2 linked regions of the Lonchura striata genome follow. The protein of the gene in region 2 purifies or fractionates together with the protein of the main gene of each other region. This does not show direct contact. Links are inferred from orthologs where the notes say so. Each region holds a gene or a part of one and is shown on either strand. Other genes may lie near its edges. The genes, in order: OCLN and TJP1.

Evidence for each region.
Region 1: the proteins of TJP1 (region 2) and OCLN purify together in Homo sapiens (affinity purification with western blotting; 4 studies listed by BioGRID and IntAct, with this or other methods). This does not show direct contact. The link is inferred for Lonchura striata from reciprocal best matches to the Homo sapiens genes TJP1 and OCLN.

Annotation. Positions count from the first base shown.
Region 1 is NC_134630.1:7,827,408-7,842,808, reverse strand, and holds the start of OCLN (occludin), read left to right. Parts: upstream 1-9,049; coding exon 9,050-9,757; intron 9,758-11,291; coding exon 11,292-11,450; intron 11,451-13,254; coding exon 13,255-13,413; intron 13,414-14,200; coding exon 14,201-14,397; intron 14,398-15,099; coding exon 15,100-15,271; intron 15,272-15,401. Other genes in the region: KCNN1 (small conductance calcium-activated potassium channel protein 1), read left to right, coding at 189-330, 759-869, 1,279-1,406, 2,405-2,474, 3,245-3,382, 3,667-3,800, 5,479-5,736, 7,362-7,608 and 1 more. UniProt on the Homo sapiens protein: May play a role in the formation and regulation of the tight junction (TJ) paracellular permeability barrier.
Region 2 is NC_134613.1:9,924,116-9,940,344, forward strand, and holds the start of TJP1 (tight junction protein 1), read right to left. Parts: upstream 8,317-16,229; coding exon 7,974-8,316; intron 5,118-7,973; coding exon 4,973-5,117; intron 1-4,972. Other genes in the region: threonine--tRNA ligase 1, cytoplasmic, read left to right, coding at 11,824-12,075, 12,726-12,812, 13,597-13,787, 14,302-14,425, 15,509-15,630. UniProt on the Homo sapiens protein: TJP1, TJP2, and TJP3 are closely related scaffolding proteins that link tight junction (TJ) transmembrane proteins such as claudins, junctional adhesion molecules, and occludin to the actin cytoskeleton.

The sequences.
Region 1 (15,401 bases), on a different chromosome or scaffold from region 2:
CATCGCTGTCCTGCGTTTCTGGGGACAGCGGTGCCACCCGGGGGACACAGCCTGGCCATGGGGTGTCCCCATGGTGTCCCCAGTGCCGGCCTGGGGACAACACCACAAATCCACCGCGATGAGCACACGGGGAGGGGGGATTTGATGGCCGCGGTGCCAGCGGTGCCAGCGGTGCCACCGCCCCGCAGGTACCACGACAAGCAGGAGGTGACCAGCAGCTTCCTGGGGGCCATGTGGCTGATCTCCATCACCTTCCTGTCCATCGGCTACGGGGACATGGTGCCACACACCTACTGCGGCAAGGGCGTGTGCCTGCTCACCGGCATCATGGTGAGGGACACGGGGACAGCCAGGGGACACTGACAGGGGACATGGGACACTGCCAAGGGAGGACATGGGGACACTGACAGGGGACATGGGACACAGGGACACGGACAGGGGACAGCCAGGGGACACTGACAGGGGACACGGGGACACTGACAGGGGACACGGGGACACTGACAGGGGACACGGCAGGGACACCGTGTGGGGACAGGCGAAGGGACACCACGAGTGTCCCCTGCCTTGGGGACACAGCGAGGAGATTTCCCACCTGGGGATTGTCCTGAGCTCCGGACCGAGAGGCGAGCTGGGAATTCGGGGTCTCCACTGAGGTTTTGAATTTTAATTTTTTAACCCCAAATTGACCCCAAAACGCCAGTGAAGGACAGGAGCAAACGCTGTCCCCTCTGTCCCCTCCGTCCCCGCTGTCCCCGCAGGGTGCCGGCTGCACCGCGCTGGTGGTGGCCGTGGTGGCCCGGAAGCTGGAGCTGACCAAAGCCGAAAAACACGTCCACAACTTCATGATGGACACGCAGCTCACCAAGCGGGTGAGACCGCCGGGCTCGTCCCAGAAAATGGGGAAAATCCCGTTACAAATGGGGGGAAATCATTAAAACAGGGGGGAGAAATCCACTGAAAGCCATTAAAATGGGAAAATCCCCATGAAAACTGGGAGAAATACATTAAAATTGGGGAAAATCCCATTAACACTGGGAAAAAGCACATGAAAACCAGGGAAAAATGGGGAAACCCCATTAAATCTGGGAAAAAGCTGAATGAATTGTGGAAAATGCAATTAAAACCAGGAAAACCCCTATTTGAAACTGGGAAAATTCCCATTAAAGCCTGGAAAAAAAGAGGGAAAAACCCATAAAAACCAGGGGAAAATGGGAAAAACCAGGAAAAATCCTATTGTGAAGTCCATCCATGGGCGATTCCCGGGATTTGGGGCTGCAGGTGAAGAACGCCGCTGCCAACGTGCTCAGGGAAACGTGGCTCATCTACAAGCACACCAAGCTGGTGAAGAAGATCGACCACGCCAAAGTTCGGACCCACCAGCGTAAGTTCCTCCAAGCCATCCATCAGTAAGTGCCGCCGCTTTTCCTGCTTCCTTGTCACCCCCCGTCCCCAAAGTGTCCCCTCCCGGGTGGGTGACAGGTGGGCCCGGGGGGTGTCACCTGCCTTTGGTCTCTTGTCCCCTGGTCTTGTCACTGTTCTTTGTCCCCTGTCCTCCATTCCAACTGTCCCGCTCGCCTGGCCTTGTGCTGTGTCCTGTTCCTGTCCCCATTCTTGTCCCTTGTCCTCTGTCCTGTCCCTGTCCCTACTTTTGTCCCTTGTTCTCTGTCCTGTTCCTGTCCCCATTCTTGTCCCCCAGCCTTGTCCCCACTTCTTGTCCCCATTCCTGTTTCCCTGTCCCCCATTCCCACTGTCCTTGTCCCCTATCCTCTCTCTTTGTCCCCATCCCTTGTCCCTGTCCCCCAGCTCTGCTGTCCCCCATCCCTGTCCCTGTCCCCCCATCCCTGTCCCTGTCCCCACCCCCTGCTGGGGACACCAGACCTGTGGGGTGACCCCCGGGCCCCCATCTCCAGGGTGGGCTGTGGGGGTTACCGGGGGTGGCCTGGCTGGGACAGGGGTGTCCCTTTTGGGTCCCCTTTGGGGTCCCTTTTGGGGTCCCTTCGGGGTGGGGGTGGTGACACTGCTGCGCTGTCCCCTCGGAATTAACCCTTTGTTTTGTGTCCCTTGTGCCACCCCGCAGGGCTCAAAAGTAAGTGTCCCCTCCCCTCCCTCCCAGCTCTGCAGGGGATGGGGGGGACACCCCAAAACTGCGGTGACCCCCCCGGGGGCTGCTCTGGGGAGGGGCTGCTGGGGGTGACAGAGGTGACAGGGGTGACAGGGGTGACAGGGGTGACAGCAGTCCTGGGGGTGACAGAGGTGACAGCTATCCCAGGGGGTGACAGCACTGTTGGGGGTGACAGAGGTGACAGTGCTCCCGGGGGGGGTGACAGTGTTCCCGGGAGGGTGACAGCGCTCCGGGGGGGTGACAGCGCTCCAGGGTGTCCCCAGGTCACCGCTGTCCCTGCAGGCTCAGGAGTGTGAAGATGGAGCAGCGCAAGCTCAGCGACCAGGCCAACACCCTGGTTGACCTGGCCAAGGTGAGGGGACGGCTTTGTGGGGTCACAGCTGCCCTGGACCCCCGGATCTGTGGGGTCACAGCTGTCCTGAACCCCCGGATCTGTGGGGTCACAGCTGCCCTGAACCCCCGGATCTGTGGGGTCACAGCTGCCCTGAACCCTCCTGGGCCGTGCCTGACCCAAACCCCACTGTTGTGGACTTCTGGGTCCATCCCTGACCCCAAACCCCTGTTGTTCTAGTTTTTGGGGCTGTCCCTGACCCCAAACCCCCGTTCTGGTTTTTGGGTCCATCCCTGAGCCCAGACCCCCGTTGTTCTGTTTTTTGGGTCCATCCCTGAGCCCAAACCCTCATTGTTCTGGTTTTTGGGTCCGTCCCTGAGCCCAGGCCCCCGTTCTGGTTTTTGGGGTCCATCCCTGACCCCCGTTCTGGTTTTTGGGTCCGTCCCTGACCCCCGTTCTGGTTTTTGGGTTCATCCCTGACCCCCGTTCTGGTTTTTGGGGTCTGTCCCTGACCCCAAACCCCCATTGTTCTGGTTTTTGGGTCCATCCCTGACCCCCGTTCTGGTTTTTGGGTCCATCCCTGACCCCCATTGTTCTGGTTTTCGGGTCCGTCCCTGAGCCCCGTTCTGGTTTTTGGGTCCATCCCTGACCCCCGTTCTGGTTTTTGGGGCTTTCCCTGACCCCAAACCCCCATTGTTCTGGGTTTTGGGTCCATCCCTGACCCCCGTTCTGGTTTTTGGGTCCATCCCTGACCCCCGTTCTGGTTTTTGGGGCTGTCCTGCCCCGAGCAGACGCAGGCGCTGATGTCGGAGCTGCTGGCCGAGCTGCAGGAGCGCCACGAGGAGCTGGAGAAGCGTCTGGGGGCCCTGGAGGCGCAGCTGGAGGCGCTGGGGCTGCGCCTGCTGGCCCTGCCCGGGCTGGTGAGCCAGGCCCTGGGCCAGCCGCGGCCACCGGGGCCGGCGGGGACAGCGGGGACAGCGGGGACAGCGGGGACACCGGGGACAGCGGGGACAGCGGGGACAGCGGGCACAGCGGGCACAGCGGGACTGTCACAAGCACCGCGGCCACCAGGCACACCGGGACCACCAGGGACACCGGGACCACCGGGGACACCGGGACCACCGGGGACATCGGGGACCTCGGGGACGCCGCGGCCGAGCGCGGCCACCGCCCCCTGCAGCCCCAGCCGCGACCCCCGCGCCGCCCCCGACAGCCCCCGGCCCGCCTCGGACAGCGGCTGAGCGGCGGCGGCACCGGCGGCACCGGCGGCACCGGCGGCACCGGCGGCACCGGGGGGCACCGTTTGTCCCCTCGTGTCACCTCGGGCAGCGGCCGCGGGGCGCTGGGGTCACCCCCGTGTCCCCTTCCGTCACCTGGGACAGCGGCTGGGGATGAGGGGGGGACACGGGGGTCCCTCTGTGCCACCTCTGCCACCTCACGGGACAGCGAGGGGGCGTGGGGACACCCCAAGGTGGGGACACCCCAGTGTGGGGACACCCCAATGCGGGGACACCCCAGTGTGGGGACACCCCAGTGTGGGGACACCCCAATTTGGGGACACCCCAATGTCCCCTCTGTCACCCCCCCCAACTTTGGGCTGTGCATAATGGGGGGGGGGGAGGTTGGGGACACCCCCAGACCCCTTTGTGTCCCCCCACGCTGTGAGGGCAGTTTCGGGGTGCGGGGGGGTCGCAGAGCCCTTTGTGCCCCCCGGTTTTGGGGTGCGGGGGGGGGGTCGCAGAGCCCTTTGTGCCCCCCGGTTTTGGGGTTTGGGGGGGGTCTCAGAGCCCTTTGTGCCCCCCGGTTTTGGGGTTTGGGGGGGTCGCAGAGCCCTTTGTGCCCCCCGGTTTCGGGGTGCGGGGGGGGTCTCAGAGCCCTTTGTGCCCCCCGGTTTTGGGGTTTGGGGGGGTCTCAGAGCCCTTCGTGCCTCCCGGTTTCGGGGTGCGGGGGTCCCCGTGTTTATCTCTGGCCATCGTGTGGCCGTGCCCGTAGCTTTGTTCTGGAAAGCTCCGTATAAAAACCTCCTGCGTTCACTGTGCTGGGCCCCCCAAAACCCCCCCAGGGCCCCCCCAGATCCCCTCGGACCCCCCGGGAACCCCCGGCACCCCCCAAACAAGGGGAGCCGAGCTGAGCTTTTTTGGGGGGGGGCTGGGAGAGGGGAGGGGACGGGGGGGACAATCCAGGAGCCCTGAGCGGTTTTGGGGGGGTGGGTCTAAAATTTGGGGACTGGGTGGGGGGGCTCGGAGGGGGGGAGGGGGAAAGAGAGACCCCCGTGGTGACCCCCAAAATGGGGGTGGGGGTGTATTTTTGGGGGGGGGAGGGTTTCTCCATTCCTGGCTCCGCCCCCAAAGTGACCTTGGAGACGTCACCTCTCTGTGCCTCAGTTTCCCCCAGCTGGAAAATGGGGGTGGGTGGGTTTGGGGGGGCACCCCTGGATGCAATACTGAGCCCATCCCCGACCCCCGGGGTGGGTCAGGACCCCTCCCCACAGCCCTGGACCCCCCCCGGGTCCGGTTCTGCTCCACCCGCGGAGCTGGGGGGGTTTGGGGGAATTTGGAGTTTTTTGGGGCAGTTTTGGGGGGGGCTGAGGCGCAAATTAAAGGAGCCTGAACTGGACGTGTCGCTCTCTGCTTGACCTGGAGGGTCTGGGGGGATTTGGGGGGCTTTGGGGGGATTTGGGGCATTTTAGGGTGGTTTGGAGGAAATTTTGGAGCGGTTTTGTAGGGATTTTTGGGGTGTTGGGGAGGATTTTAGGGGATTTGGGGAGATTTTTAGGATTTTGGGGGTGGATTTGGGGAGATTTGGGGGGACTTTTAAGGATTTGGGGGGATTATTGTGATTTGGAAGAGAATTTAGGGGGTTCGGGGGGATTTTTGAGGTTTTGGAGTGCATTTGGGGGGTTTTGAGGTTTTGGAGCAGATTTGGGGGGATTTTTGGGGGTTTGGAACAGATTTGGGGGGATTTTTGAGGTTTCGGGGCGGATTTTGGGGGACCCCTGACCCTTTTTGGGGCCCCGCGGCCCCAGAAGCGTTGGGAACGCTCAGGGGGGTGGGGAGGTGGTGGCCCCGTGCGACAATCGGGGGAAACTGAGGCTGTCAATGATTAACGCGCGGTGCCCGGCGGCGGTGGCACCGCCGGTGGCACCGGTGACACCGCTGGTGGCACCTCTGGTGGCACCGCTGGTGGCACCGCTGGTGGCACCGCCGGTGGCACCGGGGAGCAGCCGGGGGACATCGCGCTGTGCCCGGGGGTCGCGTGTGTCCCCTCCCCATGCGACGGGCAGGTGAGGGCGGTGGCGGGGAGGGGACAGTGGCCATTGTCCCCCGGGGCTGGCAGGGGGACAGGAGGGGACACGGGGTCCCTGAGCGTCACCCGTGGCTGTTTCCCAGCCAAAGGTGTCCCCAAAGGTGTCCCCAAAGGCGTCCCCAGATGTCCCCAAAGGTGTCCCCAAAGGTGTCCCCAGAGGTGTCCCCAGAGGTGTCCCCAGGTGTCCCCAGATGTCCCCAAAGGTGTCCCCAAAGGCGTCCCCAGATGTCCCCAGAGGTGTCCCCAAAGGTGTCCCCAGGTGTCCCCAGGTGTCCCCAGAGGTGTCCCCAAAGGTGTCCCCAGGTGTCCCCAGAGGTGTCCCCAGGTGTCCCCAGATGTCCCCAAAGTCGTCCCCAGGTGTCCCCAGATGTCCCCAGAGGTGTCACCATGGCCGGAGGTTGTGTCCCCAAAAGTGTCCCCAAAGGTGTCCCCAGGTGTCCCCAGAGGTGTCCCCAGGTGTCCCCAAGTGTCCCCAGGTGTCCCCAGCTGTCCCCAGGTGTCCCCAAAGGTGTCCCCAAAGGTGTCCCCAGAGGCGTCCCCAGCTGTCCCCAGGTGTCCCCAAAGGCGTCCCCAGGTGTCCCCAGCTGTCCCCAAAGGTGTCCCCAAAGGTGTCCCCAGCTGTCCTCAGAGATGTCCCCAGCTGTCCCCAGAGGCGTCACCGCCGCCGGACGATCCATCCCGTTCCCGGGCCAGCGGAGCCGCGACAATCGGGGACATCCGGAGAGAGCCGGGGACAGTCGGGGACACCCCCCGAGCCACCCCCACCCCTCGGTTCGGGGTTTTTGGGGAGGCCCCGCCACCTTTGTGCCCCCTCCCCCCGCGGGAGCTGCAGTAATTCAACATTACTTAATTCATTAATTATGTTTGGTAATTAACACAAAAACGTCTGCACGGTTTGTTTTTGGGGGGGGTCGGCCCGACCCGGAGCTGCCCCCCCGCCCTTTGGGGACTCTCCTGACCCCAATTTCCCCTTTTCCCCCCAATTTCCCCTTTTCCCCCCAATTTCCCCTTTTCCCCCCAATTTCCCCTTTCCTCCCCAATTTCCCCTTTTCCCCGAATCTCCCCTTTTCCCCCAATTTCCCCTTTCCTCCCCAATTTCCCCTTTTTCCCCCAATTTCCCCTTTTCCCCCAATTTCCCCTTTTCCCCCCAATTTCCCCTTTTCCCCCCGAATTTCCACTTTTCCCCCAATTTCCCCTTTCCTCCCCAATTTCCCCTTTTTCCCCCAATTTCCCCTTTTTCCCCCAATTTCCCCTTTTCCCCCCCAATTTCCCATTTTTCCCCCAATTTTCCCCTTCCCTCCCCAATTTCCCCTTTTTCCCCCCAATTTCCCCTTTTCCCCCCGAATTTCCCCTTTTCCCCCGAATTTCCCCTTTTTCCCCCCAATTTCCCCTTTCCCCCCCAATTTCCCCTTTTTCCCCCAATTTCCCCTTTTCCCCCCAATTTCCCCTTTTCCCCAATTTCCCCTTTTTCCCCCAATTTCCCCTTTTCCCCCCAAACCTCCCCGGGGCTCCCCCGCTGCTGCCCCGCCCCGTTTTTTAACCCCTCCGTGCCCGGTGCTTCCCCCGCCTCCCCGGGGGCGGGACCCGGGGCCGGTCCCGCAGCGCCGCCGCCGCCGCCGCCGCCTCCGCCGCTCCCGGCTGCCATTTTAAGGTGAACAAAGCGGCGGAGGAGGCGGCAGGTGAGCGGCTCCGCGGTACCGGCAGCTCCCGGTACCGGCACCGGCACCGGCAGCGCGGGGAGACGGCGGTACCGGAGCGGGAGGGAGCGCCGGGGGTCTCCGTTCCCCGCTGGGAACGGGCGGGTTCCTCCTTCCCCGAGGCACCGGGGGCCCCGCCGGGCTTCTCTCCGGTACCGCGGGCCGCACCGGAACCGGCCACGGGGCTCCAGAGCGGTACCGACTCCTCACCGGCACCCGGGTCCCCGCCACCGGATTCCAAAGCGGTACCGGGTCCCCACCGGCTCCGCAGCGGTACCGGATTCCAAAGCGGTACCGGGTCCCCACCGGCTCCGCAGCGGTACCGGACTCCAGAGCGGTACCGGGGTACCGGCTCCGTACCGGTACCGGGCTCCCCGACACCGCCGAGCTCCCCTCCGTGCTCCCCCCGGTACCGGAGCCGGCCCCGCGGCTCCTCCCGTGTCCCCACAGCGGGCCGGGACCCCCGAGCCTCCGGTCCCGTCCCCGCCGGCTCCGGTCGCCGCTGCGGGTCCCGGGGGTCCCCGGTGGGGTCAAACCGGGGGATCCAGCCGGGACCGGGGCATTGCGGATCGACGGGATCGGGAACGGGACCCTTGGGCAGCCCCAGAACTGCCCCCGAGCCCCGGTACCACCGGAGCGGGCGCCCGCTTTGCCTTTCCCTCAGGAATTCGCCTTTCCCGCGGGGCTCTGGGGATTTTTGGGGGTCTCTGCGTGTCCCGCGGGGGGCCCCACGTTCATTTTGCTGATTTTAAGACCCCCCCCCAAATTTTCCTCGCGGCTCTGCCTCACGTGACCTCCGGAATTGTCGTGGTTTGGAATTATTTTGATTTTTTATTGCGATTATTTCGATTTTTAATCCGGGATCAGCTCGGCCCCCCTCAACCCCCCGCCGCTTCCCATTCGGGAATTCCAAAAATCCCGATTAATTCCCTGCCACCTCCGGGCTGTGGGGACAGGGAGGTGACACCGAGAGTCCGGCGTGGCTGGGGTGGCACCGGCTGGTGACTCACCGTGCCTCAGTTTACCCACGTAAACCCGCGGTGACTCCGTGCCTCAGTTTCCCCATGGAACTTCTGGGGCGTCTCCAAGGTTTTTGTGGGGAGGTGTCTCCAGGTTTGTTTTTTTTTTTTTGGGAGGGAGGGTCTCCGGATTTGTTCCTGGGGTCTCCAAGGTTTTTTATGGGCGTGCTCCGAGGCTTTTTTGGGGGTGGTCTCCGAGACACTTTTGGGGGGCGTTTTTCCAGGTGTTTTTTGTGGGGTCTCCAAGGTTTTTTTTGTGGGGTCTCCAAGGTTTTTTTGTGGGAGCTCCAAGATCTTTTTGTGGGGTCTCCATGTGGTTTTTTTTGTGGGGGACTCCAGGGTTCTTTTGTGGGAAATTTCCCAGGTTTGTTCGTTTGTTTTTGTGGGACCTCCAAGCCTTTTTGGCGACTCCCACTCCGGGTGGCGACTCCCTGCCTCAGTTTCCCCGCGGTAACTCCGGCTGGGCGGCGACGGCGACAAAGGGACCAAAGTCCTTCCCTTGCCACCCTCCGCGGGTGCCAAAACCGTGACAAAACCCTCCGCGAGCGGCTCTGTCCCCTCGTCCCCCGCAGGGATGTTCCCCAAGAAACTCTCCGACGGCCCCGCCGGCGGCTACGGGCCACCCCCGGCCACCTCCTACGGGCCACCCGCGGGCGACTACGGCTACGACTTCGGGGCCCGCTCGCCGCCGCCGGGCTCCTACTACGCGGAGGACGCCCCGCAGCATTTCTACCGCTGGTGCTCGCCGCCGGGGCTGGTGCGGCTGCTGGCGGCCGCGGTGCTGCTGCTCTGCGTGGCCGTGTTCGCCTGCGTGGCCTCCACGCTGGCCTGGGACTACGGCTACGGCTACGGCGGCGCGCTGGCCGCCGGCCCGGGCGGCTACTACGGCTCGGGCTACTACGGCGGCGGGCTGGGCTACGGCTACGGCTACGGCGGCTACTACGGCTACGGCGCCGCCAGCCCGCGGGCGGCCAACGGCTTCATGATCGCCGCGGCCGTGCTCTGCTTCCTCGCCCAGCTGGGGCTCTTGGTAGCCAGCCTGAGCAAGTCCAGCGGGTCGCGGTCGCGCCGCTTTTACCTGGCGGTCACGGTGGTGAGCGCCGTGCTGGCCCTGCTCGTGCTGGTGGCCAGCATCGTCTACGTGGTGGGGGTCAACCCGCAGGCGCAGATGAGCGGCGGCTACTACTACAGCCCGCTGCTAGCCATGTGCAACCAGGTGTACGCCGGCGGCGCCGTGCTCAACCAGTACCTGTACCACTACTGCACCGTGGACCCGCAGGAGGTGAGCGGGGCCAGCGGGCCACCGGGAGGGGGACCGCCGGGAGGGGACGGGGACCACCGGGAGGGGACCGCCGGGAGGGGACGGGGACCACCGGGAGGGGACGGGGACCACCGGGAGGGGACTACCGGGAGGGGATGGGGACCACCGGGATGGGATGGGGACCACCGGGATGGCGATTACCGGGAGGGGACAGGGATTTACCGGGAAGGGATGGGGACTACCGGGATGAGGATGGGGACTACCGGGAGAGGATGGGGACAACCGCAGGGGATGGGGACCGCCGGGAGGGGACGGGGACTACCGGAGGGGATGGGGACTACCGGGATGGGGATGGGGACTACCGGGAGGGGGACTACCGGGAGGGGACGGGGACTTACCGGAGGGGATGGGGACTACCGGAGGGGATGGGGACTACTGGAGGGGATGGGGACTACCGGAGGGGATGGGGACTACCGGAGGGGATGGGGACTACCGGAGGGGATGGGGACTACCGGGAGGGGACGGGGACTTACCGGGAGGGGATGGGGACTACTGGAGGGGATGGGGACCACCGGGAGGGGAACTACCGGGATGGGGACTACCGGAGGGGATGGGGACTACTGGAGGGGATGGGGACCACCGGGATGGGGATGGGGACTACCGGGAGGGGACAGGGACTACCGGGAGGGGAACTACCGGGATGGGGATGGGGACTACCAGAGGGGAACAGGTTTGGGGTTTGGGGTTTGAGATTCAGGAACTTGGGTAGGACAGAGAAAAAAACTGGGATTCAGGAATCAGCCCCGCCCCCTCGCTCACCCCCCCACCCCCGCTCTTCCCCGCGCCAGCCCCAAACTGCAGCGATCCCAAATCATTCCCGGGATCCCGATCCCGCTTTCCATCCCGGTCCCGGTCTCGGTTCAGGTCCCGGTCCCGGTCCCGTCCCTGGCCGGGCCCGCCGGGGCCGCTCCCCCCGGCGGGGCTGGAACTGGAATGCGGCGCTTCCAGCCCGGCCGGTGGGACCGGGAGCGCCCGGGGCCGCCCGGGACCGGCTCGGGATGGGGCCGGAACGGGGATGGGGCCGGCTCTGGATGGGGGCCCGGGGCTGGCACCGGGGGCCCCCAGATCCTGCCCATCCTTCCCAAACCCCAAAACTTTCCATGGCCTTTCTAAATCCCAAACCCTCCTCAATCCCAGACTTTCCCAAATCCTAAACCTTCCTGAATCCCAAATCTTCCCTGTCCTTCTCAAATCCCCATCCTTCCCAAATCCCAAACCTTCATTTCCCGTCCTTTCTGAATTCCAAAACTTTTCAAATCCCAAATTAGAGATTTGGGAAGGACAGGGAAAGGTTTGGGATTTGGGATTCAGGAAGGTTTGGGGTTTGGGAATGTTTGGGATTCGGGAAGGTTTAGGATTTGGGAAGCACAGAGAGAATCTTTGGGATCGGGCTCATCCCCTGCGGCGGGGACTCCCGGGCTGAGAGCAGCGGCGCCAGAACCCCCAAATCCCGAATTCCCGGAATTCCCGGAATTCCCGACTCCCGCATTCCCAGGCCGTGGCCATCGCCTGCGGCTTCCTGATGGTGCTGCTGCTGTGCCTCATCTGCCTCTTCGCGCACAAAACCCGCAGCAAGATCTGGAAGTACGGAAAACACAACATTTATTGGGATCGCCTCCCGGCCGGCCGCCAGGGCCCCGACGTGGAGGAGTGGGTGAGATTTTGGGGATTTGGGGGGTTTGGGGAATGCTGGGAATGGGATCCGGGGGGTCCTTCCCGCCCCTTTTCCAGCGGGGCTGGAAATCCCCAAGTTTGGGATGGGTGCAAAGGGAAGTTTGGGGGATTTGGGGGCACCGGGAGTGGATTTAGGGGGATTTGGGGATTTTAGGGGCATTTTGGGGACTTCGGGGGGAGTTTGGGGACTCCAAGAGGGCTTGGGGACACTGCCAGGTGACACCGCGGGGCGCCGCGCGCGGTTTCGGTCTGGCCAATGATTAACCGGGAGGTGGCACCGGGAAAAGCCGGAGTGGTGGCACCGGGACGGGGACCTTGGGGACATCCCGGGCTTGTGTCACCTGCTGGGCTGGCCCGGGGCGGGGTGGGAATGTCACAGCGCTCCCGCGGGAAGGCTTGGGACAGTGGCTTAGGGGACAGCCCTGTCCCTGTCCCATGTCACCATCCCTGTCCCGTGTCCCCATTCCTGTTCCTGTCCCCATTCCCTGTCCCCTGTGTCCCCATCCCTGTCTCCTGTGTCACCATCCCTGTCCTGTGTCCCCATCCCTGTCCCCATCCCTGTGTCCCCACCCCTGTCCCCATCCCTGTCCCTCTCCCCTGTGTCCCCACCCCTGTCCCCTGTGTCCCCATCCCTGTCCCCACCCCTGTCCCCATCCCTGTCCCCTGTGTCCCCATCCCTGTCCTGTGTCACCATCCCTGCCCCCAGTCCTGTCCCTGTCCCCACCCCTGTCCCCTGTGTCCCCGTGCCACCACTCCCATCCCGGTTTCCCTGGGGCCGCGCTCCCTGCGTCGCTTTTGATTTGATTGGATTTTTTGGTGATTTAATCTGATTTATTTTCTTTCCCATTGTGCTCTCGCCCCGTTTGTTTGGGTTCCTTTGGGTTTATTTGCTCCAGGCCCCTCCCTGGATGAACATTTCCCGTCCCTTTTGGGGACACGCCACCACCCGCAGGTGCCACCCGCAGATAACACCCCCGCCTGCCACCTCCCCCGCGCTTTTTTGGGGTGTCACCCCCTTTTGGGACATCTGAGTCCCCAGATGCCACCACGGCTTGGGGACACACCTGGCGGCCCCCGGGAGGGGACGGGGGAGGAAGTGGCGTGTCCGGCCGGATGTCCCCAAGGCCACCAAGCCGGCGGGGACCGGCGTCCGGCACAAACAACCCACAAAGGGCCGGACGGAAGGGGACAGGGGACAGCCGGACGTCCCTTGTCCCTCTGCGGGGCCACCCCGAACCTGCTGGGTGCCACCCTGAGGGTGCCACCAACCCCGAGCTCTGTCCCTTTGTCCCCTCGTCCCTTCGTCCTTTGTCCCTTTGTCCCTTTGTCCCTTTGTCCCTTTGTCCCTTTGTCCCTTTGTCCCAGTTTCTTCACGGGGGTTTTGGGCTTTTGGCCTTTTGGGTTTTTTGGGGTTTCTGGGTTTGTTGTTTTTTTGGTGGTGGGTTTTTTGTTGTTTTTTTTGTATTGGTTTTTTTTGGTGGTTTTGGTTTTGGGGGTTTCTGGAGTTTTTGGGGTTTCTGGGTTTTGGGATTTTTGGGGATGTGCCTGAAGGATTTGGGGGACTCCAGGTGGGACAAAAACCTCTGTTTCCTATGGATTTTCTGTCAGATTTTTCAGGGAATTCTCAGGGATTTCTTGGTGGATTTTCAGGGAACTTTCAGGGATTTCTCTGGGAATTTCGGTGCAATTCTCAGGGACTTTTCTCGGGGCGTTTCTCGCCGATTTCTCCTTTATCCCGGCTGAGTTTTTCCTCCCGAAATCCCAAATCCCAACCCGTTCTCCAGGTGAAGAACGTGTCGGGCGGGACGAGCGTTCCAGACGAGGCCGCCACGGTCGCGTACTCGGAGAAGGGCGAGACCCCCGGGCCAGCCCCACCCTACAGCCCCCCCGCGTACAGCGACCCCCCCCAGAAGGGCTGGAAAAGGTGGGGAGGGGGAAAAGGGGTGGGGAATGTGGGGAGGGGTCGGGAAAAGGGGTGGGGAAGGGGGAGAAAAGGGAGGAAAAGGGTGGGAAATTTGGGGAAGGGGCAGGAAAGGGGTGGAAAAAGTGGGGAAGGGGCAAAAGAGGGAGGGAAATGAGAGGAGGGGTCGGGAAAAGGATGGGGGAGTTGGGAAATTTGGAGAGGGGTCAGGAAAGGGGTGGAAAAAGTGGGAAGGGGCAGGAAAGGGGTGGGGAATGTGGGAAGGGGTCGGGAAAATTAGGGAAATGTGGGAGGGGTCGGGAAATGTGGGGAGGGGATGGGAAAAGGACGGGGGGTTCGGGAAATAAGGGGAGGAGTCGGGAGAGGGTGGGGAAGGGTCTGAGGGGCCGGGAAAGGGGAGAACCCCCCAGGGCCGTGTCCCCGTGTCCGGTGTCCCCGTGTCCCGTGTCCCCGTGTCCGATGCCGCCGTGTCCCCGTGTCCCCGTGTCCGGTGTCCCCGTGTCCCCGTGTCCGGTGTCCCCGTGTCCCCGTGTCCCCGTGTCCCCGTGTCCCGTGTCCCCGTGTCCCCGTGTCCGATGCCGCTGTGTCCCCGTGTCCCCGTGTCCCCGTGTCCCCGTGTCCCCGTGTCCCCGTGTCCGGTGTCCCCGTGTCCCCGTGTCCCCGTGTCCCCGTGTCCCGTGTCCCCGTGTCCCCGTGTCCCGTGTCCGATGCCGCCGTGTCCCTGTGTCCCCGTGTCCCGTGTCCCCGTGTCCCCGTGTCCCCGTGTCCCGTGTCCGATGCCGCCGTGTCCCCGCAGTGACCCCCCCCAGGACCCCCCCTCGCCCCCCGAGGGGGAGCTGGACGCTGCCCGTCCCCCCTCCAAGCCCCCCGCCCGCCGCGGGCGCCGCCGGGGCCGGCGCCAGCCCGAGCGCGAAGGCTCCCAGTGCTCCCAGTGCTCCCAGTACGACACCGAGCCCACCACGGCCGCCGAGTCCGGCGACGAGCGCGACAGCGAGCAGTGGCACAGGTGAGGCCCGGGACAGCGGGGCTCGGCGTGCCCGTGTCCTGTGTCTCGTGTCTCGTGTCCCGTGTCCCATGTCCCTGTGTCCCGTGTCCCGTGTCCCGTGTCCCGTGTCCCCGTGTCCCATTTTCAGTGTCCCCAGTGTCCCATATCCCATACCCAGTGTTCTCAATGTCCCCATGTCCCATTTACAGTGTCCCCAGTGTCCCCACTGTCCCCATGTCCCATTTTCAGTCTCCCCAGTGTCCCCAGTGTCCCATTTTGTGTCCCCAGTGTCCCCATGTCCCATTTTCAATGTCCCCAGTGTCCGCAGTGTCCCCAGTGCCCCCAGTGTCCCCATGTCCCATTTTCAGTGTCCCCACTGTCCCCATGTCGCATTTTCAGTGCCCCCAGTGTCCTCATGTCCCATTTTCAATGTCCCCATGTCCCATATCCAGTGTCCCCAATGTCCCCATGTCCCATTTTCAGTGTCCCCAGTGTCCCATTTTGTGTCCCCATGTCCCCAGTGATGTCCCCATGTCCCCAATGTCCCCAGTGATGTCCCCGTGTCCCCGTGTTCCCAGTGACGCCCCGGTGGTGTCCCCGCAGGCTGTACCCCCCGATCGGCTCCCTGGGCACCCGCCATACCCAAATGTCCCCGTGTCCCCAATGTCCCCAGTGATGTCCCCGTGTCCCCGTGTCCCCAGTGATGTCCCCGTGTCCCCGCAGGCTGTACCCCCCCATCGGCTCACCAAGCGACCGCCAGCGCTACAAGGCGGATTTCGGGGCGGAGCTGCGGCGCTACAAGGAGCTCTGTGCCCACATGGACGGGGTCAACGAGCGGCTGGCACAGCTGGCAGCACAGCTGGACCAGGTGCCCGAGGACAGCGCCCAGTACCAGGTGTGCCCCGCTGCCCCCGGAGCGCCCCTTCTGCCCCTTTTCACCCCTTTGTCACCCCTTTCTGCCACTTTGTCACCTCCTTTTTACCCCTTTCTGCCCCTTTCCACCCCTTTTTCCTTCTTTCTGAGCC
Region 2 (16,229 bases):
AATCTCTTGAACCTCAATAAACAATTGTGATCAGGCACAATCTGAATAAAACCTTTGCATATGTATGTTACCTGTAGTATTACCTCTCACTTTGCAAAACACATTTTTTCTGGAAACACATGCAGAATTAGAGATGGCACCCTCAAAGCAGGAATACTGGCAGTGACTGGGGCATGCCAAGTAGCAGGCGTTTGGAGGAAGCCAGTCAAGGTTTTGTCTTGGTATTTGCTGGCAAGAAATGGCTGTTTTTCTTGAGCCTTGATTGCACTGGCTCAGTGCATCCTCTCTTGCACAAGGAGGTGCATAATCCATGAGAATTTTCTCTCACACATCAATTTCATTAGGAGAGCAGGACTTTTTTTCTATTTCCAATGCCTCTCCAAATCACTCAGATGTGGAGAAAAACATGACCATTCATTAAGGAGCTCTGTACTCCAAGCACATCCTAAAACCTCTTCAAGGACTAACTGCTTCTCTGAGTAATCACTGGAAGTAGGAAAATATGAGGTGCAAGCACCAGAGCAGCACACAGTATTCCAGGTGCAAGCAAATATATCGACTGGCATAATTATGTTTCCTGGTTTGTTCTTTTTCTTTTCCTAACAAACATTTGTATTTTTGGATTGGTGCCATGCACTGAATTGACATTTTAATGAAAATGTCTATCTGTCACAATCCAAAACTTTCACTTTGAGTGGTAACAGGCAACTCAGAGTTCATCACTTTATTCATAAAGCCAAGAACACTAGCCCATGTATATAATTTCACATTTATCTACACTAAATGTCCTCTGCCATTTTATCAACCAGTCACTTAATCTTAAGGCCCATTTACAGTTCTGTGCACAGCTCTCACACAACCTACATTGAGTAAATGTACATCCTCAGCAAATTTTTCCACTTCACTGCTAAGATCTTCTTCCAATCAATTTTTGAGTTAGGATAAAACAATCCCCTGCAGAATTGTACTGGTGACTTCTCTCTGTATTGTCCCAGTGTTTGATGTGGTTGAAGCCTTGGTGCTGGGGAATGTGGCATTCAGGATGGGTCTGTAACGGTGCTGAGGAGCTGTGTGGTCCCTGGTGTAGGATTTCCTGTGTAAGAATCATCTGCAGGTCTGTGTTGTGCCTCATCCCTTGCACTCTGATCTGCACTCCAGCAGGAGATGATCAACCTGATGTGTGCCTTCCTCTGTGCCTGAAACACTGGGCAGGAAGTGAGGGGATTGTTTGGCATTTCCCAGCAGTGGAGGACTCTGTGATTTCCATCAAGATTCTACATTAACTGAGGTCTTCTCAAAAGGGATTTTTTCTATATGCAGTCCAGACTTAGGTTCTTTGTCATGTGATTTGACCCCCATGTTACATATCCCTTTTCATGTGATCAGACACACATAAGAGAGAATGAACCTCAGAAGTCTGACTTCACACTGAAGGTAGGACACTAAGAGCCTTTGCTAAAGGAATATTTGGGACATAGAAAAAGGTTTTTAGAGCATAGATAGTTTAACAATACACAGCCTTGTGATCCAGTACTCAGGACCCAATACAGCAGTTCAGTAGGGAAACTGCAGAAGATGAGTAGAAAGTCTGTGGTAATATGATTTGTTTTCATAAACATGCAAAACCAGTTAACATATATTAATCTGTTGGAGGTGAGTGAATATAGCCACACAAATAGAACCTAGATGATTAAATAGCTGTGGCTTTTTTACTGGGTTTGGACTTGATTTACCACTACAGTGCACTTAACTTTGCTGTTTGCATATGGAACATGGGTATGAAGGTCTCCAAATAGCAAGGAATTAAAAGTTCCTGAAGTGTGAGAATTATCATATCTCTGAATTTGTGCTCATACTCTTCACTGGTTTGTGTTTGGGTGCCCCTTATTCCTATTGGGGAAGAACCTCTGAATTTTGTTTGCCAGTTGAATGAAGGAAAGGAAGTATTTGCCACTATGCTTTTGAAACATCAAAGTTACATTTGTATGGGTTGATAAGGAACATTGGCTCATTATTGATGCTAGCAAATCAAACCAAAAACTCCTAAATGCCCTGTGTGTATCCTCTGCATCTCTGTGCGTGTGTGTGTGTGTATTGTGTCTAGGAAAACTGGGCAAACAAGTCATTATGCGATTGTTGCAATTCTAATTAATCATTCACAGTTATAATTTCAAATAGGGAGCCAAGGAATTGTACTGTGGTGCAGTACCATCTAGTGGCACCACTGAACAGGGCTTTATTGGAGACAAGTACTAGTGTTCAGTATTAACTGCCAAATGCTGCATTTGTTGATGCTTATTGTTATTGTTATTGTTATTAAGTTTCTGAAGGAACAGAAAACACATGCAAAAATTACATAAACACTCTACTACCTAAATTAGTAATGATGTTCAGAGGTGTCAGATGCCAATATATAACTGTCAAAAAAAATCATAAAAATCTGTGCTGTGGCCTAGATCTGCACTTTTTTTCTGAATAGATGATGTTTACATACTTTGTATACATTATTTTTTGTTATTTAAAGCAAGGCAAAGACTTTCAGCTTTACAATAGAACTTATCATTAGCAGTGAAGTTTTGCCACACATGAGCTTTGTTTCCCTGTGCAAAATGTTAATTTCCAAATGACAGATTCCAGAATATTCTGACTTGAAAGGGACCCACAAAGATCATCAAGTCCAACTCTTAAGTAACTTAAGGCAATCACATACATGGATTGAACCCACGACCTTGGTTGTGTTATTAGCACCTTATTCTAACCAACTGAGCTAATGTTGAAACTTAACTTATTTAAGAGCTGTAAACCACAATTCCAATAGATTCAGAAAGGCATATTCTACAATGGAACTCAGACATTCTAGAATTATAACAAAACTGGGAAATCCATAAATGATACTTCAAACACGAATTAATTACATGCACTATAAAGGATGTATCACATAATCATAATCCATTTACAGGAAAATGGAAAAATTGCGTGCAAAAATCTCTTGTTGCTCACATTGTGAAAATGGACAGCTTGTTTTATAACAACTACAAAAATAGTATCTGATTTCCACAGTTTGGATATCACTTATTCTGATAATTTATTTGAGAGCCTTTGTAACACAATCTCTTCTTAATACATGGGAAAGAAACATCTGTATTTACTATTAATACTACAGAGAGTTACCTGCTTCAGCATTTTAGTTCTCAGTCAACAGGAGAATATAAAATTTTGTTAAAGAAGAAAACCGAAAGTTTGAGGAAAATAGTAATTATTTTCTTTATCATATCTTCATGATTTTCATAGGATCAGCACCAACTGTCCAGTAATGCTTGAGAAATAAATAGAAAAAAACCACAACAACAAACCAACCAAAAAAACCAAAAGGCAACAAGAACAACTCACACCAAAAATGTATTGAAAACAGTACTAATTGAGGTCATATTCAGGCAATTACTGACCCAACCTATAATTCCATCCATTAGTCTAATAGAGGTTGTCTTGTTTTGAAGAGGGTATTCTGGGAAAGAAGGTACAGAGAGGACAATAAACAGAACCAGGACAATAATTTCTGTCCTCCAAACCAGACCAAGAACATATCCTTAGCACTGACTTGCAGAAATCATGCAATATGGTACTTCTGTCTAGTATTTTTGTGAGGGCATTCATAGATAAGCTGCTTGCCCTGAAAAGTTGTAAACCAAATCACAATAGGAAAACCTCAACCTTACTGAATTTCACTTGTTTTATAGACCACATTTTTATTGTACTATACAAGCTGACTTCAGGAAAGATTTCCTTTTTGTCCATTATTTCCCTAATGTGATTCTTTAGTTTCAGGCACTTCTTAATTGGTTTGGTTTTGTAAGTGAATTGTTTTGTGCAGTTAGAGGACCTTTAAAATCCAAATGGCACATATTCAGACAGTGAATGGCTATAAGTCTCCTGGAACTCCTGTGAATGTCTAATGAAAAGTGAGTTCTGACTGGGATTTTATTAATTGTGGGTATAGATCAGCCCATACTGTACAGTTTGGCAAATACTACTCTATTATCATTTCATGTTTCACTACTACTCAGGATCAGTTCAACCTCATACAACTGCAATTGTTTCACAATCATTTCAGAGTCATTAATTTTTATTACATTTCTAAAAACTAACGTAATCCAGACACTAGCTCCAACTTAACAAAACTAACCTAGGCATGCAATAGTATTGAAGCTTTCATCATTTGCTCTTAATATGCTACTAGCACATCAAAACAGGACAGCTTTTAACGATTTTTCAAGACATTTCTCAGAATGTTTCTGTCTTAGTTGGACAGAATTTCTTAACAGCTAATGAGCTATTGTGAGCTGTAGTCCATTCTCAGCTAGATTCCATATCAAATTAGGCAAAGCATGACTCCAAACACACAACTGCAAATGCTGGAACTGAATAGTAACTACATCAATTGAAGCATTTTAGGATTTTCCAAGGTTTTATTTCTCCTCCTTTTATGTTCAAATCTCTGAAGAAGAGACTTAAATCCCAGTATCACAGCATGTATCAGGTTACATGCTGTTCTTACATAGGTCTTCCTCTATATATATGAATAGTTTCTATTCATCTGAAAGTAAATAAAAATAACAGAAACTGTGATACTAACTTAGGCTGTCTGCCACACTCCAAGAAAATGTATGAGTAAAATATTCTTCTACATATGTACTTAGCCCTTGAACACTGAAAACTAGCAATGTCATCAATGCATTACATCACTACTGAATACCTGTAGCAAAGACCAGGGATAATTCCCAGCATTCAACAGCATTCAAAAATCAACATCCAAAATGTTCTTTATACAAAGCAGAATTGTATTTTACAAATGCCAGGTAAAATCAAATGCAATTAAACCCTTGAAAGTTTCAATGTTACTTCACTTATGCAGAAATTAAGTCTTAGGAAATGCTGTGATTATTAAAAACATCATGACAGTGATAATTTTAACCTGTATTTGTTGAATGACTGGTTCAGTTGCTCCTCAGCAGAAAGGCTTCCTTCTTGGTCACTCATCTGACAGGTTTCGTGAAGCTCCATCTCTGCTACAGCTCTCAGATTTGTTTGCTCTGATAACGCTGGGAAATGCAAATGGTCTGGATAACAAAGAAATTTCTCTAATAGCTGATGCATAATTAAAAATAACATCTACAATTTGATGTAATTCTGTCAGTGATGTTACATTTGGATAAGTGACTGATATAGGTAAACACAGTGTCTTTTGACCTTATATTCATAAAGTTGTTTCCCTATTCATATTTCCAATAGACCTGAGATATATAGGTCAGACTATTTATAGAAATTTGGAAATAATAAAAAGTCTTACTCCATGTAAATTTCTTCCTGGCCAATGAAGAGCTGACTTTCTATTGTATCATATGGGCAAGTAGTAACCAACTGTTTCTCCGCATGAAATCACTAGGGGCTTTGTTTTATATTATAGGAAGAATTGTAAGTAAACTAATCAAGTCACTAATCTTGATGCATCAGTGGGGCTATAACGCCACTTAAGTTACTGTGAGGGTAATTATTGGAAATTATGAGGTGAAAGAGTTCAAAGTATTAAAACAATTATGTGCAAGCAACAGTATATCCTTCGGTGGCCACATTTCACTAGCACAGTTCACAGTACTTGCAGTGAGCCACATTAATCCACAGCCTGAGTGACCTCTTGGAGTCATGCCACATTTCCAGCACCTGTCAAATGGTCCTTTCTGTAGGGCATGCAGACAATGGAAACCCATTAAAATAACCATATCTGCCAACAGGGACAGGTCCAGAGAACAGAAACTGGTCCCACTGTACATGCAGCTGATCAATAACAGGAATTGATTCTATTCTGTGTGCTCAGTCAGCCTTCCACAAAGAGTGTCTTTAACAAGTACAGTGGGCAGGATGGCACTGCTCTGGTAGTGCTGATGCCACATAGCACAGGCATAGCAGCTTCTCGTCATGCATCTAGACTGCATTCCTTCCTCTTGATTCCTTTGCCCTATCAGTCAGCTTTTAGAGGATGGAGAAGAAAATTATGGTAATGGAAATAATGAACAATGTTCTTTTTCATCACATCTTTCTGTGCACCTTGTAACACGGTTTATCAAAATTGATCTATAAAAATCCACAATGCCAGAACACATAATGCATTTTAATTGAATCTGCAATGTATGTGTGCATGAATTTAAACAGATTATTTGCATGAATTAATGTGTATATATAGCATGTGTTTTTCTTTGCCTGTTATCCAGTCAATTATTACTAGCAAAAGCAGATTCTAAAACTAGCTTTGCATATTTGATAAGCACTACTGGGGGAGGGGAAGGAAGAAAGAGTGTAATAGTGGCTGAGCTAAGGCAGCCTGAGGCATTTTTCTGCCTGCACAAGGCACAGACAGAATGGATTGGGATGCTGTTCCAACAGTATCCTTTACTCTTGGAAATGTGTGGCATTTGCTTTCTCCTTTTTCTCTGTATCTCCTGTGATGTTGTCAGGGAGACAGAGTCCTTGACTTGCACTCCTCTGCTGAGGCCATCCCCTTTAGAGCAGTGCTACCCCCAAACCTTGTACCCACTGGAAGACTGAAATCTGTTCTGTGACAGGCCCCTGCATGATCTATTTAGATGGCATAGAATAAAAACCCTCCCTGCACTGTCTCTTCAGTTAAATCAGAGGAAGCCCAAATTTTCATTCCAAAAAGTGTATTCCAAAAGACCTGGCTTTATAATGTATTTATAATCAATTGTATTTATATTTCTATGCTTAAAAAAAAAAAAAAAGATAGTGAAAAGAGGGCCTAGGTAGCTTTTTTTATAGCATTGTAGTCTGTGAAGTATTTTGTACATGTATTAAATTCCCCAGCAACATCCTTTGATTTTCTTGTTACTGCCATAAAACCTTATTGTAAATTGATCTTGAAAAGCTACATTAAATGGGCATCTTTCATAATTAAATTAGGGTAAAATGTCTGTTGCTTTCTCATGTAATTAGAACTCCAACTGTCAATTTTAAAAGTAATCAGGCTGTCAAGAGAGGGCACAATCTAGTTATTTCAAAGGTCAAAATGGTTTTATATTTCAAATTTTTTCATATTTAGTTTATTAATGTTTTTTACAGGACTCAGACTTATTTTATTTATAAATACTTGTAATTTTAAGTTGCTTAAACCTGGTACTGAATAGATCAGTGAAAGATGTGACTATTTTAATTACATTCTAAAAGGACATTCCCTATATAACCTTTGAGCACAACCCTGCAGTCATTGCTGAGAAAAACTCTAGTTGACTTGATAGACTGAAATTTAGAATATAACAGACACAAAAAATAAAAATAGGTCAGTAAGATATAATTGTAAGCACCCTACGCATTTTTCACATTACCTTTGCTAATATCTAGCAAAATATTGTTCCGCAAATAAGTACGGCTGGTGCCTGATGGCCAAATCACTATTTGATTAATTTCACTCGTATTGTTGATATTTAGGAATTCAACCCTTTTTCACACAGTTGTTTACAGACAGATACAATAACTAACAAGAAAAATGTGAACGGGATCACTTACTCGGGTTTTTGCCTACAGAACTTCTCAATCTATTTTTAAATATTTCAGAAAGCGTAAGGAACGTAAATAATCAGTGTTACATTTCTCATCTAAGCGTTATCAGTAATACCTAGAAATCCTTTTCACCATCCTGACTTTCATTTATTAATAGCAGCAATTTGAGTATTCAGCATTTTATCAGGTTAAATGTTCTAAGTATAACAATAAAATATATTTAAGATTTTTTTTCTCCTAATTATTTTTTATTTCATAACTAAAAACCATAAAGGTAGTAAATACTATCTCTGGTTTAGTGCAAGAGAGAAAGTAAACACTAATTATAGCAAATAACTATTAGTGTCAAAGGATTGCAAGACATTACCAATATACACTTAAGCATTTCAGAGCAGTGACCTTACCTTCATAGCCAAGGAGAAAACATGTCAGCAAGTTAGGAGAGACCTCCTCCAAAATGGAACAAAAGGCAGAGAAAGCACCTGGGCCTTTTAAATAGAGTTTATCTAGAAAATATTCTGTTCTCTTCTTGTAGCTCTCCTGAGACCAAATGTCTTTGTATTCCTCCAAGGAAAAGACTCTCTTGTAAACCAAATATGACAGCACTTTGTTCACATCCAGCTCTTCCAGTATTTTCTGTCTCTGATTGCTTGGGATTTCAGAGAGCCACTTACTCCTGTTTTCATTTTCTCTTCTGGTAGATTTTGCACAGTTGTAAAACCAAGACTTGGCTGTTCTTCCAAACATTTTGATATTTAAATAGAAAATAGAAAATTCTACTTCTGCATTTCTCGTGCAGCATTCAGTATACAGAATCAACATAATGTGGATAGCTAGAATGCATATACATACTGATGTCTGTGATTATTGTAATACCAATGGAATGAAGAAGGCCTACATACAAATTATAAAGAAATCTAGCTCAATGCCTGCAGCCTCCTAAGAGGATTACATTACACTAATTAGCCCTTTACAACTGTTAACAGCTTCTGAACCATAATGATGAGACTGAGAATTGCTTAGCTACTGTTACTTTTTAATTCTATAACTGATCTTCAAAGATATCTCTTTGCAAAAAATAATTCATTCTAGAAGACAGCTGATCAAATGGAAATAATCTGTACAAGCTGGTACAGGACATAAAATAAAGCATCCTTTGTACACTTTGATTTTATATTCCTCAGAGGCCATACCCAAACCACAGTACAAATACCATCCAATTCTTGTTCTTCTATAAAATATTAGCTTTAATATGGAATGAAATTACACATTTAGAAAGCATGTTTCTATATATATTCTGTAAACCTATATGCAAAAGGTAAAAAAAAAAAAAAGTTACAGAATAAGACCTTTTTTGTCAAGGTAAGTACATAACTACTAAGAATAACAACATTTCTACATGTCTATATTTTTATGCCATTTCCAAGCAAAATAAATCATGTAGCATTCGTTTCCTGAGCCAGGTTTAACAGTGGAGATTACTGCAATCCCAGTGGAGGTGTTCTGCCACTGATAATCATTCATTGAGGATCACACATTACATAACCTCCCTTATGCAAATGATCCTTAGTACATGGACTTCTCGGTCTTGTTTTCATACTTTCTGTCAACATAAATTCCCTCTATGGAAAAGCTATGAACATTTCCTGCCTCCCCTTCCTGTTTCTTAGTCTATTTTTTCTTTTTCTATTTCTTCCAACTGATAATGCATCCATGGCCTTGCTCATGTGACCTTACCTGCACTTTTCTAAAGGGTAGTTTATCTGTTGTGGAGCAAACAAAAATATTTTGCCAAGCTTTTAGTCCAATGAGTTTTAGAATATTTTCTGTTCTTGTAATCTTAAGTTGCAACCATGGTATCCTCCTCTCAGGCTTCTTCTGTTTCCTAAAGTTCAAGTACATTCAGTTAACATTAAAGTTGACCACTGACCATATCCTAACACAGGAATCTTCTTGTGTATGCGAGCATCCAGTTAGCCAGCGAGGCTTCACGGAATTGTTTGGCAGCATTGCCTGTCACCTTGTGGTTGTTTGCAGATACAACAAGCCTCTGTGTGACACATCATGTGGGGCAAGGACCATGGGTTTGTGTTTTATTTGAAGAAATATTAATTGTCTCAGTTTACAATGTTATGGCTTACTGGCCATAACGCTGCTGTGATCATCTCAGGTAGAGCTCCCTGTGCTCTGCACACCACACACCACAGAGGGCCCTCTGGGGGGACAGAGATGGTGCAAAGCAGCTGCCATCCCAACATGAGCCATCCTAACCACGAGCCAGGGAGCACAGCTAAACCAGCTGCACAGGGCAGAGAAAGTAGCCAACCTATCTGGCAGGTCTTCTAGATAGACTTTGGAAGGAGGCTTTAACTCTCCAAATTCCCTCTAGCTTTGAACATTCATAGAGGTAGTATGATTTTTTTGCTCTCTTCAAATTGTTTCTGTCTCATAAGTTCTACTAATTAACACCACATTATCTCAGCAAATAAAAGATCCTGATAGAGGATATTGGCACTGCACATATGTTAGACAGCATCCTCTGAATCAGCCTTCTCAGCCTTCAGAGGGGAAGTTCTTCCTTACTTCACTAAATGCCAGAGCAAGCCCAAAGTTACACGTTTTTGAGTTCATAAGGCACTACCCAAAGATGAGATACAGAAGATATAAATTGAATACATTTCTCAGAGTTTAATTTAAAAAACAAATCTGTGTTTATTCTATTGTGCTGATAACACTGCTTGTCATCAGTATCCTAAGCAGACTAATTATTTCTGCACAGTAGTGAATTTAAAAATTAAAATAGCAAGTAACCTATCAAATTCATAATGAAAATAGATTTCTAAAGGAAGCTATAGACTATGTTTTACTTTCACAACTGCCAATCTAACCTCAAAGATACACATCCTTGCTATAGTGAGGGATAGACAAAGGTGTTGCCAAGTTGCACCTCTTCAGGAAAGGAAAGAAGAATTGTTGCAAATGAAAACAGTGCATTGTTACCAGTTTGCTGAGGTATATGAACCTAAAATTTGTGAGTATACACTATAGGAGAGTCTTTGGACTTGATGCACTGAATAATTTACTTTTTTCTTCTAAAGGAGTACAAGTTTTGAGCCAGAAATCTCCCCATTATTTTTGCTGGTAAAAGAATATATTCTTATAACCTCAAATATGTTCTTATAAAGTCTTAAAATCACAAAGAATGGGTGATATAGGAAATGTATCAAGTGGCGCACAGTTACAAAATTTATCTCTCTACCTTCTCACAAACCATATAGTTATTTCCCACTGTGTAAATAGAAGAATAAAATGCTAAAATTCTGATTTGCTAATTGCCAATTTGGTAATAAAAGCCCACAGCTTTTAAAGTCTGAGTATAGATTAAAGGTGAAAATTTGAAAATGTGTGTTGAGAAACTGAACACAGAAAAGTGAGTGTGAAGTACAATCAAAGCAGGAAACTAGATAAATTGAAGATGCCAAGGAAGTGTTTAAGACAAAAGGATACATGGAAGTACATGGTGGATATGAAAGATTTGTGATGGAGAGCTATTCTTTTCCCAGAGTCAAGAACTGAGGTATTTAACTGCAATGACCTGTAAATGATGCAGCAGACTGTTGGGCTGTGCAATAGGAATTGTACAATTCTCCCAAGCTCTGAGTCCTAACATCTGGCAACTCAACCCTCTTCAAATTATTTACCTTCGTGCTAAGTTCTGCAATTTGTGCTAAGATGCTGAATAGTTTCAATCAGCCTGATTTAATAAGAAAGTGTGTCAGCCAGGAAGCATCTACTACAAATAACCTCCGGCAGTGTTCATTTGACATTGAAGTCAAATAAGAATGCAATCTGACCAACACGTTTTAACACTGACATTGTTTAATAAAGCGTTCAAGGAAAGACTGAATGTGGCACATGAAGCCATAGTCCACTTGACGGTCCTCGGTCATAGGCTGGACTCGATGATCTCAGAGGTCTTTTCCACCCCAACTGATTCTGTAGATATCGACACTTCCCAGCTGCTCACCGGCCTCAGGTAGGCTGATGAATCCCCGGCACAGCAGCAGGTGCTCCAAAAAGCGGATTGCTCAATGAGCAGAAGGGGCGATGGGAAAAGGAACGCCCGGCAGGGACGCCGGGCGGGCTCCGGCGGCAGCGGGAGGGCCGGGCCGGGCCGGGCCGGGCGGGGCGGGGCCGGGGCGGGGCGGGGCGGGGCGGGGCGGGGCGGGGCGGGCGGAGCGCGCCGGGGCCAACATGGCGGCGGCGGCGGCCGAGGCGGCGGAGCTCCGGCTGTCGCGGCAGGAGCGGGAGCTGCGCTGGCTGGCGGCGGAGGTCGGCCGGCTGAAGGAGCCGCAGGAGCTGCAGTGCCCCGGCAGCGCCAGCCCCGAGCTGCAGCGGCTGCGGGCCGAGAACGAGAAGCTGCGGTACCGCCTGCTGCACCTGCGCCGCAGCCTGGCGGCCGAGCTGGGCCGGGCGGCGCCGGCGCAGCCCCCGGCCGGCGGAGAGGTAGCGCCGGGGCCGCTCGGGGCGGGGCGGGGCGGTGACCCCGGGCCGGCCGGGCCTCCGCCGGCGGGAAGGGACGGGACAGGGGCGCTCACGGGGCCGAGCCGCCTGTGCCCGGGCCCCGGGAGCAGAAGAAGCCTGTCGCGGTGCCTGCCCGCACTGGGCAGTGGTCTCTGCCCTTGCGCCAAGGCGGCGAGTTCGCAGAATCATAGAATGGTTTGGGTTGGGAAGGACCTTAAAGCCCCCTGCCATGGGCAGGGACATCTTCCACTAGACCAGACTGATCAGAGCCCCATCCAGCCTGGCCTTGAACACTGCCAGGGATGGCATCCACAGCATCCCTGGACAGACTGCTCACTGCTCCAACGGCCTCGCTGGGGCGATTTTGCTGGTGATAGTTGTAGTAGTGAAATTTGGGAAATTGTGTTGAGAGGACTTTGCTTGGTGAGCAGCACTGCTGTGTCTGCAGAACATCAAAAGGATGCAGTTTAGAAGTGCCATGAGAAGTCTGTGTACTGAGGATATACCTTGTTCCCTGTAATTGCCTTTTTAGCCCAATATTATACTGGTTTGGTTTGGTTTGTTTTGATGATTGCTGGAAAAAGCACTTGAAGGTATAGTAGAGGTTTACTTAGTATTATCACTGTTTTCAGAAAGTCTCCAGTGCAAATCCAGCTGATGCAGCGAATCAAATTAAAAAGAAAAAGGAAGATGAAGCCGTGAACCAACACCAGAATGATGTAAGTGGTTCATTAATACCACGTAGTAATAGGAGTGGTTTTCAGCCAACTTCAGAAAAGGCGCTCATATCTGAAATACTTTGCTGTATTTTGAAATCCCAGCTTTTGGGATGAAAGCTCGCTATAGCACAGAGGAAAAAACCCTCATATTATTCAAGAGCTTAATCTTGCATTATTAGGATTACTGATACATTATTAGATCTCTACATTTTATGTAACAAAAGGCTTTGGGTTATTGGAAAATAAAGTTCATGGTTTTGTGGTGCCTAAGGAGAGTGATGGTTCATGAGGAGTTAAAAAGCATTCATGATGGCTGAATGGATGTTGGCAGCACTGCTGTAATACAATAGAGCTTAATAATTCACCTTAAGCTAAAATGCAGGAACCTTCATGTGAACTGTCTGGCTTGAATCTGATGCTTTGAATGTAGTGGCAGGAGCAAGGGCTTATTGGAGTGATCCAGATTTCTCCAGGACATCTGCCAAATGCAAATTTCATTGGTCAGGAGTATAAGCTGCTTTCTGAGGTCCAGCTCACAGACCCATTTAGGCCCAGATTGATGAAAGTGCATGGAAAATTAGAAAATCACTATAAAATAGTCAGTAAGTTGGATGGGACTATTCTGTATATTATTCTTTATAAATGTTTTACTGAATTTTAGTGTAAATTCTAGTACAGTTAAATCTGGACATGTTGGAACCTCTGGGGATGCACCAACACTGTGAATCCTTTTATTCTCCTTGTCTCACAAATATGTGTGTGTGATCTAATTTATGTGTTACAGCTCCAGTGTATGCCAAGCTTCATAGAAGACAGACTGAAGCTTTATGAAGTACTGAAAAAAGAACATGATGCTTTGCTAGCTTACAGAGCAGCCAACCAGAGCAGATCTATCAAAGTTACTCTGACAGATGGGGAGACAGTTGAAGGGGAATCTTGGAAAACCACACCATATCAATTAGCTGTAGGAATTAGGTAACCTGCACATTCAAGTAGTTGTACTTCTGTAGTGCTAAAACTGTTACTATCATTTGTCTCTTACCTTCTTATATAAAATATGTTTCACAGTCAGTGGGTGGTGGCTCCCTTAAATTGGTTTGCTTGGAAAGCATTGGCACATCAGCTTCATGTAGTAGAAACAGCTGGTTACAGTGATTCTGTGCCGGGATCATAATGCTTCCAATTGCATCTGTGGCACTGCTTGGAATTAAGAGACATGGGAAGTTTTGTGAGTTAGCTGAATCCGTAGAACTTGTTGTAAGGAGTAGCCTTTCCTCCAGGCCACCAGCACTGAAAAGTGTTGAACAAAACCTCTTAAGACCTTAAGGTTCTATACCTTAAAAGTAGGCAAGTGTTTTAGATGACCACAGAAATAAAAGTTTATGGTCTTCAGATGCTACAAGATGTGCATGTGGTCTCATGGGGTTTAGAAATCTAAAGTCTTTTACAAATTGGAACCTAAATATTCTTGTCTCTTCTGTTTCTTTAGTCAAGTGTTGGCTTCAAATGCAGTCATAGCCAAAGTAAACGGTGAACTCTGGGATCTGGACCGTCCGCTGGAAGGAGATTGTACTCTAGAGCTGCTCACCTTTGATAATGAAGAAGCCAAAGCCGTGAGTAAAACACTGGTTTCTGCTTGATTAAAGAAACTAATGACATAAAATTGATTGCACCATTAAGCTTTTAAAATCTTACATTAAAAAAACCCACAAAACTATTCAAGTAATGTATTTCCTATGATTAGGTACTAAGTGCCTATAGTCTCAGACTGAGTAAAATCTTTGTGTTCTTTTCATCCTTCTCTTTTACACAAACAAGTTATTTCTCAAAGGAGTTTGTCCACAAAGCCTTGATTTGTATGTTAACTTGAAACGGTCTGTGATTTGGCTTGGTGCATTTGAAGATCAGACAGTGAAAGCAGAGTGAGGCAGTCTCTACCATTTTCTAAAAACTGTCCAATATTAGACTTGAGTCATAAATAAAATTTACACCCCCTTGTACTGGCACTGTTTATTAGATCCTTAGTAGACATTTCATAGTCAGTTAAACTATATGTATACTTAGCAATGTGACTGAGATTTTTCTTTTCAGTCTGCAGCTTATGTTATCTTTATACACTAGGATTGGACTTCAGTTTTGTGAAAGAATTATTCATGGATTAAGCTTGTTGGAGACATTTCAGGAGCCTGTCAAAGCTTTATCTTATAACAATAGCTCTGAAATAGTCTCAATTAATAAGAAGTCAGAACATCAGACTGGTATTGATCTATTGATTCCCTCTTCTGACATTTCAGGTAATGCAGTTTACAGGCCCATTAATAAATGTACTGGATGTGAACAATGGCAACCTAATTGGCTACGTTGCTTTAGATGTGATTAGTGGTGCATAGACTTTGACTGAAATTACCTTATAAATGAAACAAGGTACAGTAAGTAAGTTGAAGGAATTGTGCAGAGGTATAATCATCCTCTTTCAGACTGAAGTATGGTGGGCCTTAAGTGCTACATCTGCCATTATCTTTTAATTTTGAATTATTCTAAATGAGTAATATAAAGTTGTTTTACTTCTCTCAAAATTTGAACAACATTGATTCCAGTCTGTGACCTATCTGCAGATATCTCTAGTTTGTTTTTTCTTCTTTTTAGTTACACAATGCCATTGACCTCATGGTTTGCTCACTTGACTTCATTTACAGGTTTATTGGCATTCAAGTGCTCACATTCTTGGAGAGGCCATGGAAGGATATTTTGGGGGCTGCTTATGCTATGGACCACCGATTGAGAATGGATTTCATTATGACATGTATATTGAAGACAGGTAAAATTACAGTGCCTTAGAACTTTAATACTCCTTATTAAAGCTCAGTACTACAATTATTTCATTTGTTTCTGCATGTTAAAAGTATAATCTGTCTCTAATAATGTGATTTGAAACATAGTCTTGTGTATGTACAATTCAGTTGATTGAGTGTATATATTTAAATTCAGAAGTAGTGTTCAGACACCTGCTCTGTAAGAGTTGAAGCTGATCTGTGGAAAAAATGCAGAGCATTTGGGTTGAAGTTTCTGAAGTTCCTGTAAGGCAAAGGGGATGGCTTCCTTGAGCAAGTTTGGTTTCCAGGGCCCATAGTTGCTTGTAGAAAGGGCACAAATGCATGTAACTTGTCTAGATGTTTACTACTGTTCTAATCCTTGTGTACAGCTTTACAATTCTGTTTTGTCTTTCTTTATCCTACTGTAGGCAGGGAGAATACTGAATCTGCATGAGCTGATAAACTGGCTCCTGTGGCTGGGTTGAGCCCCTTTTTTCCCCTTGGCTTGTTTTTTTTTTCTTAAATCATACGTATATTTTGAGCTGTAGGTCTTCCAGACATTTAATCATGTCAAAGACTGTTCCAGACATTCGAAGGAATTATT